Linked DNA regions of Bombyx mori. The protein of the gene in region 1 purifies or fractionates together with the protein of each later gene. This does not show direct contact. Links are inferred from orthologs where the notes say so. Each region holds a gene or a part of one and is shown in the gene's direction. Other genes may lie near its edges.

Evidence for each region.
Region 2: the proteins of cytochrome c1 (region 1) and NADH dehydrogenase [ubiquinone] iron-sulfur protein 3, mitochondrial fractionate together in Homo sapiens (co-fractionation; 3 studies listed by BioGRID and IntAct, with this or other methods). This does not show direct contact. The link is inferred for Bombyx mori from reciprocal best matches to the Homo sapiens genes CYC1 and NDUFS3.

Annotation. Positions count from the first base shown.
Region 1 is NC_085117.1:9,004,122-9,011,802, forward strand, and holds cytochrome c1, read left to right. Parts: upstream 1-2,837; 5' UTR 2,838-2,845; coding exon 2,846-2,914; intron 2,915-3,225; coding exon 3,226-3,276; intron 3,277-4,135; coding exon 4,136-4,284; intron 4,285-4,592; coding exon 4,593-4,719; intron 4,720-5,282; coding exon 5,283-5,400; intron 5,401-6,020; coding exon 6,021-6,202; intron 6,203-6,370; coding exon 6,371-6,601; 3' UTR 6,602-6,949; downstream 6,950-7,681. UniProt on the Homo sapiens protein: Component of the ubiquinol-cytochrome c oxidoreductase, a multisubunit transmembrane complex that is part of the mitochondrial electron transport chain which drives oxidative phosphorylation.
Region 2 is NC_085125.1:14,789,587-14,795,931, reverse strand, and holds NADH dehydrogenase [ubiquinone] iron-sulfur protein 3, mitochondrial, read left to right. Parts: upstream 1-3,493; 5' UTR 3,494-3,648; coding exon 3,649-4,446; 3' UTR 4,447-4,573; downstream 4,574-6,345. Other genes in the region: uncharacterized protein LOC110386536, read right to left, coding at 52-158, 2,143-2,331.

The DNA of each region.
Region 1 (7,681 bases):
ATGGTTTGCAATTAATGTAATTAACTTTAAGATGATTTTCTTTCAATCTGCTGTTTGTTTCATCTAGTATTACCAAAGCTAAACCATCAGAAACGTCAGAATAGAAATAATTTAGATAGGGAATAAAAGTATAACTAATGTAATCATGTCTAAAATTACTATAAGCGTCATTAAGTACAAACTATCAATATTTAAGAGTACTTTTTAAATCATCATTACATTTTTTAAACATTTTTTGTTTTTTTTTTTGTTTTTCAAATCATGTAACAAAACGTTTGTGCAGAACAAAATGTCACATGTTATGAACATGATTGTGGGTTAATCGTTTCTTAAATTTCTAAATATTTATAAGAATGCTAAGATTAATTTAGTATTCAGTTTAGTGTGTGTATTATCTCTACAATGCTAGTTTAAATGACAATTATTGTATGACGAAGCATAGGTAGTGTTTATAGATGTAGTATTTTCATACATTCGGGAATTGATGTACTCCAATTTCTGAGCATATTGGTACAAAACAACGCGTCATTGTGCTTATAATAATTTTTAATCAAAAATTCCAATACAAATATTGAATGTTATGGGAACAATGCACACCAGCGCCACTTTGACAGTTGCCAACCCCATTAAAGATACAGGGCTGCCAGAATAAATTTTAGATGGACGGGTCAAATGAACTTATTGATCCCTTTGCTTTATAATTTTACTACCCTTATCAAACAACATTTCTTCGATATGTTTTAATACTGACTCCTATGTTATTATTATTCTTATTGAGATAAAAAGTATACCATAAGTGGTTTATATAGCAAATCAGGTCACTAGACCTGAGTAGACCTGGATGCCCTCTGTTATGGGTACCAGAGACTGACATACATACTTATATGCGCTTAAATATAATTATAAACATATAACTAATAAACACCCAAACAAAGAGCAAACAAACTTATTCTCCAAACGAATGTTTGCCCGATGTGAGAATCGAACCTGCGACCCTCGGCGCAATGGTTCGAGCCGGTAACTACTGCACCACCGAATCAGTCAAAGTAGTGAATTATTTAACTTTGTTAAATTAGTGTTTCTTCTGCTTTGAACGTGTAGATAAAACGGACAAATCTATTTTTTTGTCCTGCACGTGTTAAAATTTATTTAAGAAAAACACTATTTTTATCCTTTGTAGTATGAATATCTACATATATGTATATAAAATTTCGGTAGGCTTAGTGTTATAGTAAACTGGAAATATAACTCAATAGGAATTGTTTGATGAATCGCTTTACTAGGAATAAACCTAAGTTTTCATGTCACATTAAGCCTCCTTTTGTCAGTTTGAATTTTTAATGTGACTATACTTTTTTTTTTGTATAAATTCTTGATTTCTTCTTATTTTTATACGCGGCGGAGACGTGGACTTTGCGACAGGTGGAGAAAAAGAAGGTTGATGGTTTGGAGATGTGATGCTGGAGACGAATGCTTGGTACTGGAACTCAGCAATAGGCAGCGTCTTTCGGCGCTCGTACGTGGGCGCATACTATAATTTTATGGACATATCTCTCGGCGAAGAAATATCTGCATAGAGCGCCTTTTCGTTCCAGGCAAACTAGAAGGCACCAAATCGCGTGGAAGGTTGTCCATGCAATAGATCGACCAAGTCAAGTCGGCATGCAGTTGGCGGTTGTTTGCATAAGTGTACTATACTCACCACAAACCGGGAGAAGTGGCGATTGCTCGTGAGGCGCATAGTATCTGCCCACAGCAATGATACTGAATGACGAACACGACCGCTCTAACAAGAGTGATACGACAAAGGAGATACTTTTTCGAAACTTATTTATTAACTTTATTTCTTCCTCAATAGTTATATATTAACTTAATAATCACATGACCATATGCTCCATTTTTGTGGCGTCATATTTGAAACCAAAAGCATATCGGAGGCTGCGATGAATTTCTTGAGGGCTCTGATCGATGGGCTCAGCAGGACCATATTATCTGTATAACTAATGCTGCTTATAAAACTCCATCAATCGAACTGCAGACACCAACACTGCTGAGCTCATTCGGTATGTCAGCCCCCCTGCCTGACACAAACTCCTACTTACACTTACACATCCGATAGCGAACCCGACTATCTTACCACATTATCCTGATTCACATACCAGTATTTAAATAGTGAAATAAGTTTTACCGGAGAGTCCGTATCACTCGATGATTTTCGTTATTGAATATTCTATTGAATGATCGTTTTATTTTAATTTGGTCCTCCTATTGCTACACTATAAATTGCTTTATTTACTTTAACTTAGTTTCCATTGACGGTAAATGAATATCGGACACACTTTACTTGATATTACAAATTAAGTTTCTGCTGTAGATGTAAGTATTGCAAGCTTAAATGACAAAAACAAAACGAATTTTAATTTTGAAACAAAAAGAAGAAAGGAAAATTTGTATGAGTGAAATAATATACGAATTATTGGGGCGATATGCTGGGAAAGATTTGATGTGGAAGGCGGAGGATCGTTCATTGTGGCGGACTATGGGAGAGGCCTACATCCAGCAGAGGAGAGATACAGATGATGAAGTATTGCATAACATATTTATGATCGAAACCTTGCCGTCAAAAATTGTAAAGTATTCAAAATATCGGAGATTGTAGAATGTGTAAGTAAAGAAATAATAAACGACGTGTTTTACATCCAGAAACTTGAAAGCCTTCGAAAAAATACTGTATAATGACTTTGACTTCTGCCAGAAAAAAAGTTAATCGACCTATTTTTACCTCTGGCATTTTAGCTGTAGATGTCATTTTAGTCGTCATCTTTCATTACGACGGTTTTCAAACATGGCGGCCACCGTCGGTAGGATTTGTGGGGCACGTCTTTTGAAAAAATATGGTCTAGTTTGGCCTCAGGTACTAAAAATGTTCCTCAGAATCCCGTAATTCTCTAAAAGTAATTAGTGCTTACAGTACGATAGACATGTATGTTATCAAATGCGACAAAGTTGAAGTTCCAAGTGTCACTGAAAACTGGTGAATTTATCAATTTATAGTTTTTATCCAGGGTTCATAAGTTTTAATTCAAACGACGCTCTGTATGAAATGAATCCAATTAAATGTTAATATATCCGAGTGTGTAGAAAAAAATTGGATCTAAAAGTGATAACCTATTCTGCATTATGTAACAAGTACATATTAATTCTAATGCTGATCGAACATTGCAGGCTTGTCAGCTGTCCACCAACACTCAAGGATGGACAAAAAACAGAAAAGTGGTAAGTTTTGCTGTAACAAAATTTATTTTCCTACATAATATTAAAGCTACTAGTTTTATGAATTTTGTTTGCTTTTAAACTTTGTATCCTGAAGTTTTTGTGCAATTATCTTTAGTAACGAAGATTAAAAGGATCACTTAAATTAAATGATATTAAAAAAATAAATTGTCAATAATTACATAAAATATCAAGACTTATCAGTTGATGTTTGCTGATATGAAGAGTAATAATTGATTCATTAGTTAAATATTGCATCTATAAGTTTGATGAAGTCTGAAAAATTTATAATAACTAATTATTAGTAATATTAGTGTTGCTAATTTATTACGTATTTGAAATAGCTCTTAAATAACATTAAAATTTTATAAATTTAAAGATATGTATCTGTAATATTAAAGTTGAGTGTCACTTTATACACAAATATGGTTTTATGGAAACTTGACAAAACAGACTAATGATACTACTACTATGCTAAGAGTTATGGATTTTTTTTTTCCAATAATTAACTGACAAGAATAGTTTGGCTAGATAAATTTACTCCACAAGGCTATGCTATTGTTTTTGATAAAAATAAGAGGATAACATCTCTTAAAGAGATTATCTTTTAAAGAGTTTTCCACAGTGGTTTCAATCAACCATTGAAGGAAGGAAGGCCTACAGGTCACGTACCATTTAACTAATATGGTTGTAAAAAAATAATTTACACAAAAATAGGGGTATTAAAGGGTTACAATGTTTCTAATGTGAAACAGTCTTTTTTCCAAACTATGCCATAACTCAGAGAGATAACTACTAAATCCAACAGTTTTTGATGCATTTTGTGCATGTGCTCAAATTCAATCTAATAAACGTATTCCAGTGGCTGTCCACTTTGGGAGTGGTAGGTGGAGGTGTTGGAGCTCTACTTTTTGCACTTGAGCAGTCTGTGCAGGCATCAGGCTCTGAAGCTCACCCACCTCACAACCCTTGGAATCACAGTGGCTGGTTCAGCTCCCTGGACCACGCTAGGTGAGTTTTCACTCTTAGAGTTAGAACTCTAAGCATTTAAATTCAATTTCAATAATACAACAAAAGTCATAGATAAAATTATAAAGAAAAATTAACATTAAGATGACCTTTATGATCAAAATCAAGGACGTTCAAAGTCATAATGAATATAAAAATTATGTTTATAAAACATTACTGTAAGAAAAAATACAATTTTCTTGTTTTACTGTATGAAATGGATTGTAATTGTATATACATTAGGCAAAGAAAAACATAATACCTATCAAACATCATTTGTCATAGAACACCTAGTTCCATGTTTGTTACAGTGTCCGTCGGGGTTATGAAGTTTACAAACAAGTCTGCAAGGCATGCCACTCTTTGCAGTATATTGCCTTCAGAAATTTGGTCAATGTCACCCATACTGAAGACGAGGCTAAGGCTGAAGCTGCTGAGGTCAGTCATCGGTGATTATGTCAAATAAATGTTAATTTTATCCTGATGCTATAAATAAATAAATAAATATTTACTAACAATCACGCCACGTTAACTGGTCCCGTGATAAGTTCGTAAAGAACTTGTGTTACAGGTACCAGATAACGGATATAAATGTAAGATTTTTATTATACACATACATATATTTAATAGAATCCATAACCCTGGAAAAGACATTTATATTTATCATACAAATATCTTCCCTTGGCGGGATTCGAACACGCGACCCCCCTATGTAGTGACCATGTCACTTACCACTACACCAGACGGCCGTTAAATGGCCGGCTATGATCATGTGCGAGACATTAATACCAAGCATGATATAAAAAAATGACTCTAGGGATCAATTATATTTGATGTATTTTATAATTGTCAATAACATGCCCTTTTTATTACAAGTAGTCAGTTAAAAGAGAAAAATTACTTTCATATTCATTAGTTATAGGTTTGTCCAACATAGTAAGAACAAAACTGTCATAGCAGTACAATGTATAATATTTAATTGGTAACTTGAACATTTTCAGGTGATGATTAAAGATGGTCCTGATGAGGAGGGCAACTACTTTGAAAGGCCTGGTAAACTTTCTGACTACCTGCCGTCTCCATACCCCAATGAAAATGCGGCTCGTGCTGCAAACAATGGTATGTGTAGAAAATAATAAAATGCAGAGCAAAATCTTAGTATCATTTGTGAATGGGCCCACAAGAAATCAATGTCATGAAATCCTGTAGGGAAACTAAGTAACCTTGATTTCTAAAGGTCTGGGTAGTTAATATTTTTAATAATTGCCATGCCTCTTACTATGATGGTAGATGCAGTCATGGGTATTGGTTTGAAAGATGGAAGTCATTATAAAATGAAACTGAGACATCAAGCTTACGTCTCAAGGCACATGGCTCCACTTAACAACACTTACGGTAGGCAGCGGCTTGGCTCTGCCCCTGGCATTGCTGAAGTTCATGGGCGACGGTAACCACTCACCATCAGGTGGGCCGTATGCTCGTCTGCCTACAAGGGCAATAAAAAAAAAAAAAAAAAAAAAAACTTTCACTTAATAGATTTACATTAAAAAAAATTGCAAAGGTATTATGCATTGGTGTTAAAAACATATTAGTATTATTAAATTTAATGAAATTATTGAAATAGAAGAGAAAATTTTATCTGGATTTTAAAGATCAAATTTAAATAGTGCAAGTTAATAAGTGATTATGCTTGACTCCCTAAATACAAAACTAATAATAAAAATGTTAATTGATATCAGGTGCTTACCCACCGGACTTGTCTCTGATCTGCTCGGGACGTAAGGGCGGCGAAGATTACATCTTCGCGCTACTGACTGGTTACATGGAACCTCCTGCTGGTGTAGTGCTACGTGAGGGACAGAACTACAATCCATACTTCCCAGGAGGTGCCATCTCTATGGCGCAAGTTCTATTTGACGAAGTAAGTTTCATGGATAATTCTAAACTCGTTATATATGTCCATTGGTGATATTTCATTAACAAACAAAATTAGCCTTATACAAGAAGAATAGACTGCATTATATATTATTTTCTATACACATACGAGTAATATCAACGCCCTCTCTAAATATTATATTATGTTTGGCAGGCAGCTGAGTACAGTGACGGCACGCCGGCGACTGCGTCACAGCTCGCCAAGGATGTTGCGACTTTCTTGAAATGGTGCTCAGAACCCGAACTGGACGACCGTCGGCAGATGACCATCAAAGCTATCGGCATGTTCTCCATGCTTGCCGCCGTTGTCTACTACTACAAGCGGCACAAGTGGTCCACGCTCAAGTCTAGAAAGCTCGCCTACAAGCCCGTTTCTAAGAAATAAACGCCAACAACTTACAAGTAGCAAAACAAATGTTTTAGACAATTTTTTTTTTTTCTATAGGCACAGTAACATGTTAATTGTTTATAATTAAATTAATTTATTTTATCTACCATCGCGTGTTTACTTTGTTACACGGGGTGGCTTGCTGTGACTTTGTTACCATGCGTGGTCCCGTAGACGCGAAACCGTATTATCTTATGTAATTATGTTTATAGCATTTTGCCACTGCGAAGCCGTGGCACAGTCAAATTGTAATGTTAGGTGATCTGTCGGTAACTGTGCTTGTGATTTTCCATGAAAGCTCTTACTGTGAATCAGTGTACAGTTGAATAAATGTGTTAAAATCTATTGATTTCATCTTTTCCTTGACCTTCTCTTCCAAATTATGATGCAGCCCTAATATTATTTTAATGCTAAGTGTGTTAAGTGTTAGGTGGTTTCTGGAGCCCATAGACATCTACAACGTAAACGCGCCACCCACCTCGAGATATAAGTTCTAAGGTCTCAGTATAGTTACAACGGCTACCTCACCCTTCGAACCGAAACCCATTACTGCTTCACGGCAGAAATAGGCAGGGCGGTGGTACCTACCCGTGCGAACTCACAAGAAGTCCTACCACCAGTCGTGAGCTCGTCCATCAACCTAAACAATAAAAAAACAAATTGTTGTAATTACTGGTCGTGGTGCGTCTTGCGAGGCAGTTATGTACCACCAGCCATTCTATTCCTGATGTGAAGCAGTAATGGATTCCAGTTTGTAGAGTGGGACAGCCGTTTTAGTATACAATTGAGATTTAGACCTCATGTCTCACGTAGTGATGTCTATGGGCTCCGGTAATCGTGTAACACCCGGTGGGCCGTGAGTTCATTCACCCGTCCATGCATGCAATAAAAAAATCAAATTACATGTATGGCTTGTAACAGTGCCACATCCGATTAATTTTATTTTCGTTGTTTCGATGCGCGAATGTCTTGCACAGTCGCCATTTAAATCTAAAAAGTAAATAATACTACTAGGCTAGACGAAGGAGTATCCCTGCAACCTTTTACTTGTATTGGGATACTTGGGGTCGACATTTT
Region 2 (6,345 bases), on another chromosome or scaffold:
TGGTTTAGTTCAATTCCGATGGTTAAAACCTCACAAATCAATTATACTTACACTCTGACATTGGTGGGAGCCTTTTGCTTCCTAACAAATTTATCGATGTGTTTGAGATTGTCAGGAACTATCAAAGTGAGCACAGGGTTGCTTGATACTCCTCCAAACTGTAAATAAACATTTATTGATGAATTCCCCTAACAATATGGTGCACTTCAGTACATAATTAAAATCTGTTTTTGTAGGAAATAATCACTGATGACTGTATCTTCGATTTTCATGTTCTATCACAGCCACGCACGGCAATAACGTCATTTTGCTTTTACAACACTTTAGTTAATATTCGCTTGCACCATTCACGTATGTTTAAAACTACTTTTACAATTTAATCTTGCATTTTCTGACGAATCGTGTTTTACAATTTTAGTCGCAAACGACTAATCACGGCGACACACTGATCTTTATGAAATTTCTAATTAGAGCATCGTCCTAACTACCTCCAAATAATTTAGAAAAAATATAATTGTGTATATTTTTCTCGAAACTCAAGAGGATCTACCGATTTCTTGAAGTCTGTTTCATCTTAACGATAATAATATTCCAGGTGTTAGCTTAGGGCCAACCAACTTGTCCGTTAAAGTTTTGTCTCAATTTATTTCAGCTGCATGGTATACTTTTGTCGAATATTGTCATAGAATATTGCGTACTGTTGTCTAGAGCATGTTGACACACCGGAGACTTATACTAACTATACTAAGCAGTCACTCTCTTGGCGTCTCCAATATGTAGTATTTACCCATCCCATAGCTCACGAAAACGCAAGTAAAAGGTTGTTATAATGCCACTTTCCAATACTTAAGCTAATAAAACATTCAAAACTTAGGACACTGTTGTAATAAGCATCTATCTCACGGTAATCTAACACAGTGACTCATATAGTAGTGGAGTTTATATTAGTAGTTGATGATTTTAATTCAATTATATTTCATGTTTATTTATTTTTATTTATTAATAATACTGACAAATTTAATTTTAACTAAATTTTATTTTGATTCAAATATTATGTAATTGTATGTGAAATTTTAAAGGCTTAAGTGGCTTGAAATAAACGCATTTTATTTATTATTTTATAAACTTCATTACTTAAAGCTACTTTTACAGTTTGATCTCACATTTAACATTTTCATTTCATTATTTCTTTACAGATACTTTAGGGGTTTCGTGGTCACAGACTACTTGGGTGTAACACACACACAACACTACATTTTAATGTTGGGCTACATCAATTTTTTCTATATAAAAAATGACATTCATGTTTCTTTCTGTTGAAATAATAAAGTGAGAGCAATAAATGTAAAATTAAACAGTGAAAGTAATTTTATTTATGATGATTAGGGAATCTATTTGAATGTTTGCTTTGTCTGATAATAAGTAGTCCCGGCTATTGTGTGTTGGGCTTCAAAGTCAATCCCCCGTCAGAGTCAGTATACATATATCAGATACTTGAAATTCAGGGTCTGGATGTTGTTGTTGTAAGTTATATGGGTTTCCGGTAATTAAATCATAACACTGAAGAAAATCTGAATTTGGAATGTTGAATGTAAAATGTTAATTATTTTTCACCAAAAAAAGGTTGAATCAGCTGATGTTCACACGCTGGCTTTTCTTTAAATTATAAGTTCACAAAATAGAAGTAAGTAATCTTTCCTTAGAAGATTAATCTTCTATAAATGAAAGATGTACATCATTTATTGTTAATATATTGATTGACTCCAAGAACTTCAAGTTATAAATGATACTTTTTAATTTTAAATTTTATGTACTTCTTCAATGAAATAATTAATGTTAAGACATTAACTACCACTATGGATTTTTCATAATTAGAGCAAAGTTTATTTTAATCATGGTATATATTAAGAACTTTAATATTATTAATTGTAATACTAATTCTTGCTTCAAGAGTCTGATAGTGGTTGTGGTGATAAATTGTAAGGTGGGGCAGTGGCTGTGATGTTTATGTATTATAGTAATTGTGTGTGTAACGGCAGTAAGAAATTTGCCATCTTTATCAATAAACAGATAGCAACATACCACACTATGCAGGCAGAAATTATTACTACCAACTATTGAACTCAATTCACAAAATCTCACCAAGAAACAGTCACTGCAGCGTTCTTTGAGGAAAGTGAGTAGATCTCGATATCCATATTTGGCTATTGGTATGTGCTCTCCCATCATACTGCGGTAGTCCCTCAATAATGAGCGTAGGTCCACTTGCGTAGGACTAGACACCACAAGGGACCGCAGGACTCCCTTCAATTTTTGAAGATCCTCCTCCATAATTGTTTCTGTTGCAATTTAGAAAAAGAGCCTAGTATACTCTTTCACCCATAATTTTTTAAAAAGTGTCATTTCAATATAGTTATCTTATCTTTGTAAGCATTAGAAGATGCTATACAAAATGTTTGTTATTTTAAGATATCTAGAACATATGTATGCATAGAGCCTTCTAGTACAGTATACTTGCATATAACAAGTGTACTAATGTTAAACATTGCATAAATGTGTACCTACCAAGAGTAAGGTTTTACCCAAGCACTCAATATGATCTCTTGAGAATAAATGTCATGTTGGGCACATCTGATCAAAAATAAATTCAAGGTAGAGTGAAATTTTCCAAACCAAATGGATACCAGTATAAATGGATTCCATGGATACCAGTTACCACAGGGTCAGAAGCTTATTTTCGGGCATCGATAATACAGTAGACAGGTAAGAGGGATAAAATTATAAAATTGGTTGTATCATAACCGTGACAATTTATACATAATAAATTCATTTTGATGTTTCGCAAATTTAACGAAAACTCGACACTGTTATTAATTTCGAAAACAATATATAAACAAAACTTTAATAGTAATCGTCATACCTGTTGATTTCGCCTGAAAGAATATTGTAATTTTATGTAGATTTTCATCAAATAATCCAATAATTGCTACAATATTAGTGTATCTATTGATTGCATTTATGGTATTCTTTTAAATAATTGCTTCTGTTGTCTTTAAATAATGTTTTTTATGGTTATGTTTAATTCTTCTATTGGATATGCAAAGGAAACATAGCCCATAAAGAAAACTGTTATAATACAAAGCCAAATCTTAAATTTAAATAAAATGAAAGGGATTTAAATCAGATCTACTTTATGTAACTATACTTGAGACCTTAGAACTTATATCTCAAGGTGGGTGGCGCATTTACTTCCTAGATGTCTATGTGCTCCAGTAACCACTTAACACCAGGTGGACTTTGAGTTCGTCCACCCATCTAAGCAATAAAAATAAAAAGATCAGATACAACAAAACCGTTACATACTGTTCTGTAGAAAAACATTCTAACTGTAGGATAATAAATGTAGAAGAGAATAGGTAAATTTTTATAATCCTAAAATCGTCTAAAATTTTTATTTATGAATTTCGATCCCGTTTGTTCTAGCGATCCTTCTTCAAAGATTTACCTTTCGGGCCGTGTACTGTCTAGTGTGTCTAGTGTCAAATAAAACACAAAAGTCAAAGTCAACTATGTAATGTTTATGTCGTTTCCTAAGATTTTCGATCGAATTTAATTACGTAAGGAATTAGTTTATTTTGCTAGAACATTATGTCCTTCTTCTTAAAACGCACTATTGGTGCGGGAAACGGCGTCGGACGAGCTATTTTAAACAGTACCAAAATACCTGGTGTCCAGCGCGTAGCGACAAAATCTACCGAAAAAACCCCAGTACAAGAGACACGACCAACTGTAGCCAAATTAGATCCACTGCAAAAGGCGCAGCTCGTCGACTTCGGCAAATATGTAGCTGACTGTCTACCCAAGTATGTGCAGAAAGTACAGCTGACTGCCGGCAACGAACTAGAGGTGCTCATCCCTCCGGACGCAGTCATCCCGGTTTTATCCTTTTTGAAGGACCACCACAGCGCTCAGTTTGCAAACCTTGTCGATATCGCTGGCATGGACGTACCCTCGCGCTCAAACAGATTCGAAATCATATATAACATACTTTCTCTACGTTACAATGCCCGAATAAGAGTCAAAACTTACACTGACGAGTTGACTCCTGTAGACTCAGCCTGCGATGTATTCAAGGCCGCAAATTGGTACGAACGAGAGATCTGGGACATGTATGGAGTATTTTTTGCTAACCATCCTGATTTAAGAAGGATTTTAACAGATTACGGTTTTGAGGGGCACCCTTTCAGGAAGGACTTCCCTCTAAGTGGATATGTAGAAGTTCGTTATGACGATGAGCAGAAGCGTGTGGTGGTCGAACCCCTTGAGTTGGCACAAGAGTTCAGACGCTTTGAACTGAGTGCACCATGGGAGCAGTTCCCTAACTTTAGAGCCAACCCTGTAACAGAGGAAGTAGTGAACCCGTCTGAGGATCAACCAAAAAAATAACAATCCATAACTGATTGTGCAATTTATCTGAAATGTAAATTTTAGTAACATCTTTCTCGACTTATATTAGTTCTGGAAAATATTTCAGAAAATTAATCTTACAATAAAGAGTAAAAATATAAAGAGATAATGCCTATTATTTTTTCAACCTTTGTTTGAAACAATTTTTGTATTGTTAGATAATTTGTTAAAATTGTAGTGATATTCGGATGACAAGTGGTGATGGTCCTATTAGTATAGATAGGAAATTAGCTTACCTTCCAGCTAATGTAGATATTACTAAAGACCATTTACAATAAAATGAATACTGCAGGGATCAATTTGTAATTTGACTGATGTATTTTTTTCCTACCTATGCTGATAGCCTTGAGAGGCTATATCGGCGTTACCCTAACGGGTAGGTGAGCTCTCGGGGCTCAAATCGGACGTGTTGCTAACACTGGCCCTAGCAAGAGCAGTGCTTCGCAGAATCTACCACCGGATCGGAACTACGACCCACTGAGAAAATCTGGTGAGAAACTCAGTGGGCTGTGTCTGAGGGTTAATTTGCTCGCCGAACTCTTCGACGAGAATGATGACCGGTACTTGAGGTACCTAAAAGCACCGGTAGTGGATTGGGAGGATCCGAAATGACGTCTTTTTGGCAACGGTGACTGATTAACATTCGGTCCGCAGGATCGATTATGTAGTTACCGCCGGCCACGACAGGAGAGTTTTCGTGTCGTGCCGCCTTCTCCAAGTGGCGCGTTGATGCCGACTGTATATACTTACTGATTGCGTCAAGCTCCAGATTATTATGGAGATGGACCGATGTGTTGATTTAGAATTGTAAAGCAAAAGTTATTGAATGGATATTTTGGCAGTTCTCAGTAATGTAGATGTGTTCGACATTTTTAAATTATGTTATTACTTAGATGGGTGGAGGAAGAGATTACGGCCTACCTGATGTTAAGTTGATACTGGAGCCCATAGACATCTACAACGCAAATGCCGCCACCAACCTAGAGACATGAGTTCTAAGGTCTCCGTTTTAACAATACAACGGCTGCCCCACCCTTCAAACTGATAAGCAATAGTGCTTTACAGAAATAGGCAGCGTGGTGGTACTGAACTTTTTTTTTTTATTGCTTAGATGGGTGGGCGAGCCACAGCCTACCTGGTGTTAAGTGGTTACTGTAGCGCATAGACATTTACGACATAAATGCGCAACCTTGAGATATAAGTTCTAAGGTCTCAAGTATAGTTACAGCGGCTGCCCCACCCTTCAAACCGAAACGCGTTACTGCTTCACGGTATAAATAGGCAGGGTGGTGGTACCTACCCGCGCGGACTCACAAGAGGTCCTACTACCTAACTACGAACTACGCAAAATATATTTTTTTCGGGTTATTTAATAATAAGGAGATGATGACCGAGCTTTGCTCGCTTTTTTGTTGATAACGCTATCTTGTTGTGTCTTTAAAACGGTTAGTTGCCCTCAATTAAGAAAAATAGTATTATTATTCGCCAATAGATGTCGGGAAGAGTTGATTATTGAAAACACGAATAATACAACATTTTCTGAAAATAAATCGTAGCTAGATCGATTTATCGCCCCCGAAATCCCCTGTATACAAAATTTTATAAAAATCGTTGAAGCCGTTTCCGAGATTCAGATTATCTATATTTTAATATACAAGAATTGCTCGTTTAAAGGTATAAGATTTTGCGCGTTTGATTTTTATTACATGGTGTCATTCCTTCACTGTGGAAGTAAGTCGTGAACATTTGTACATATTTCATTAGAAAAATTGGTACTATTGGTATTCGAACATTGCTCGATACGAATGCACCGATAATTTCTTTTAGTCGTTCTTATTTTTAAATATACTTCAAAAATTTTGCTAGTTAACTTTGCCT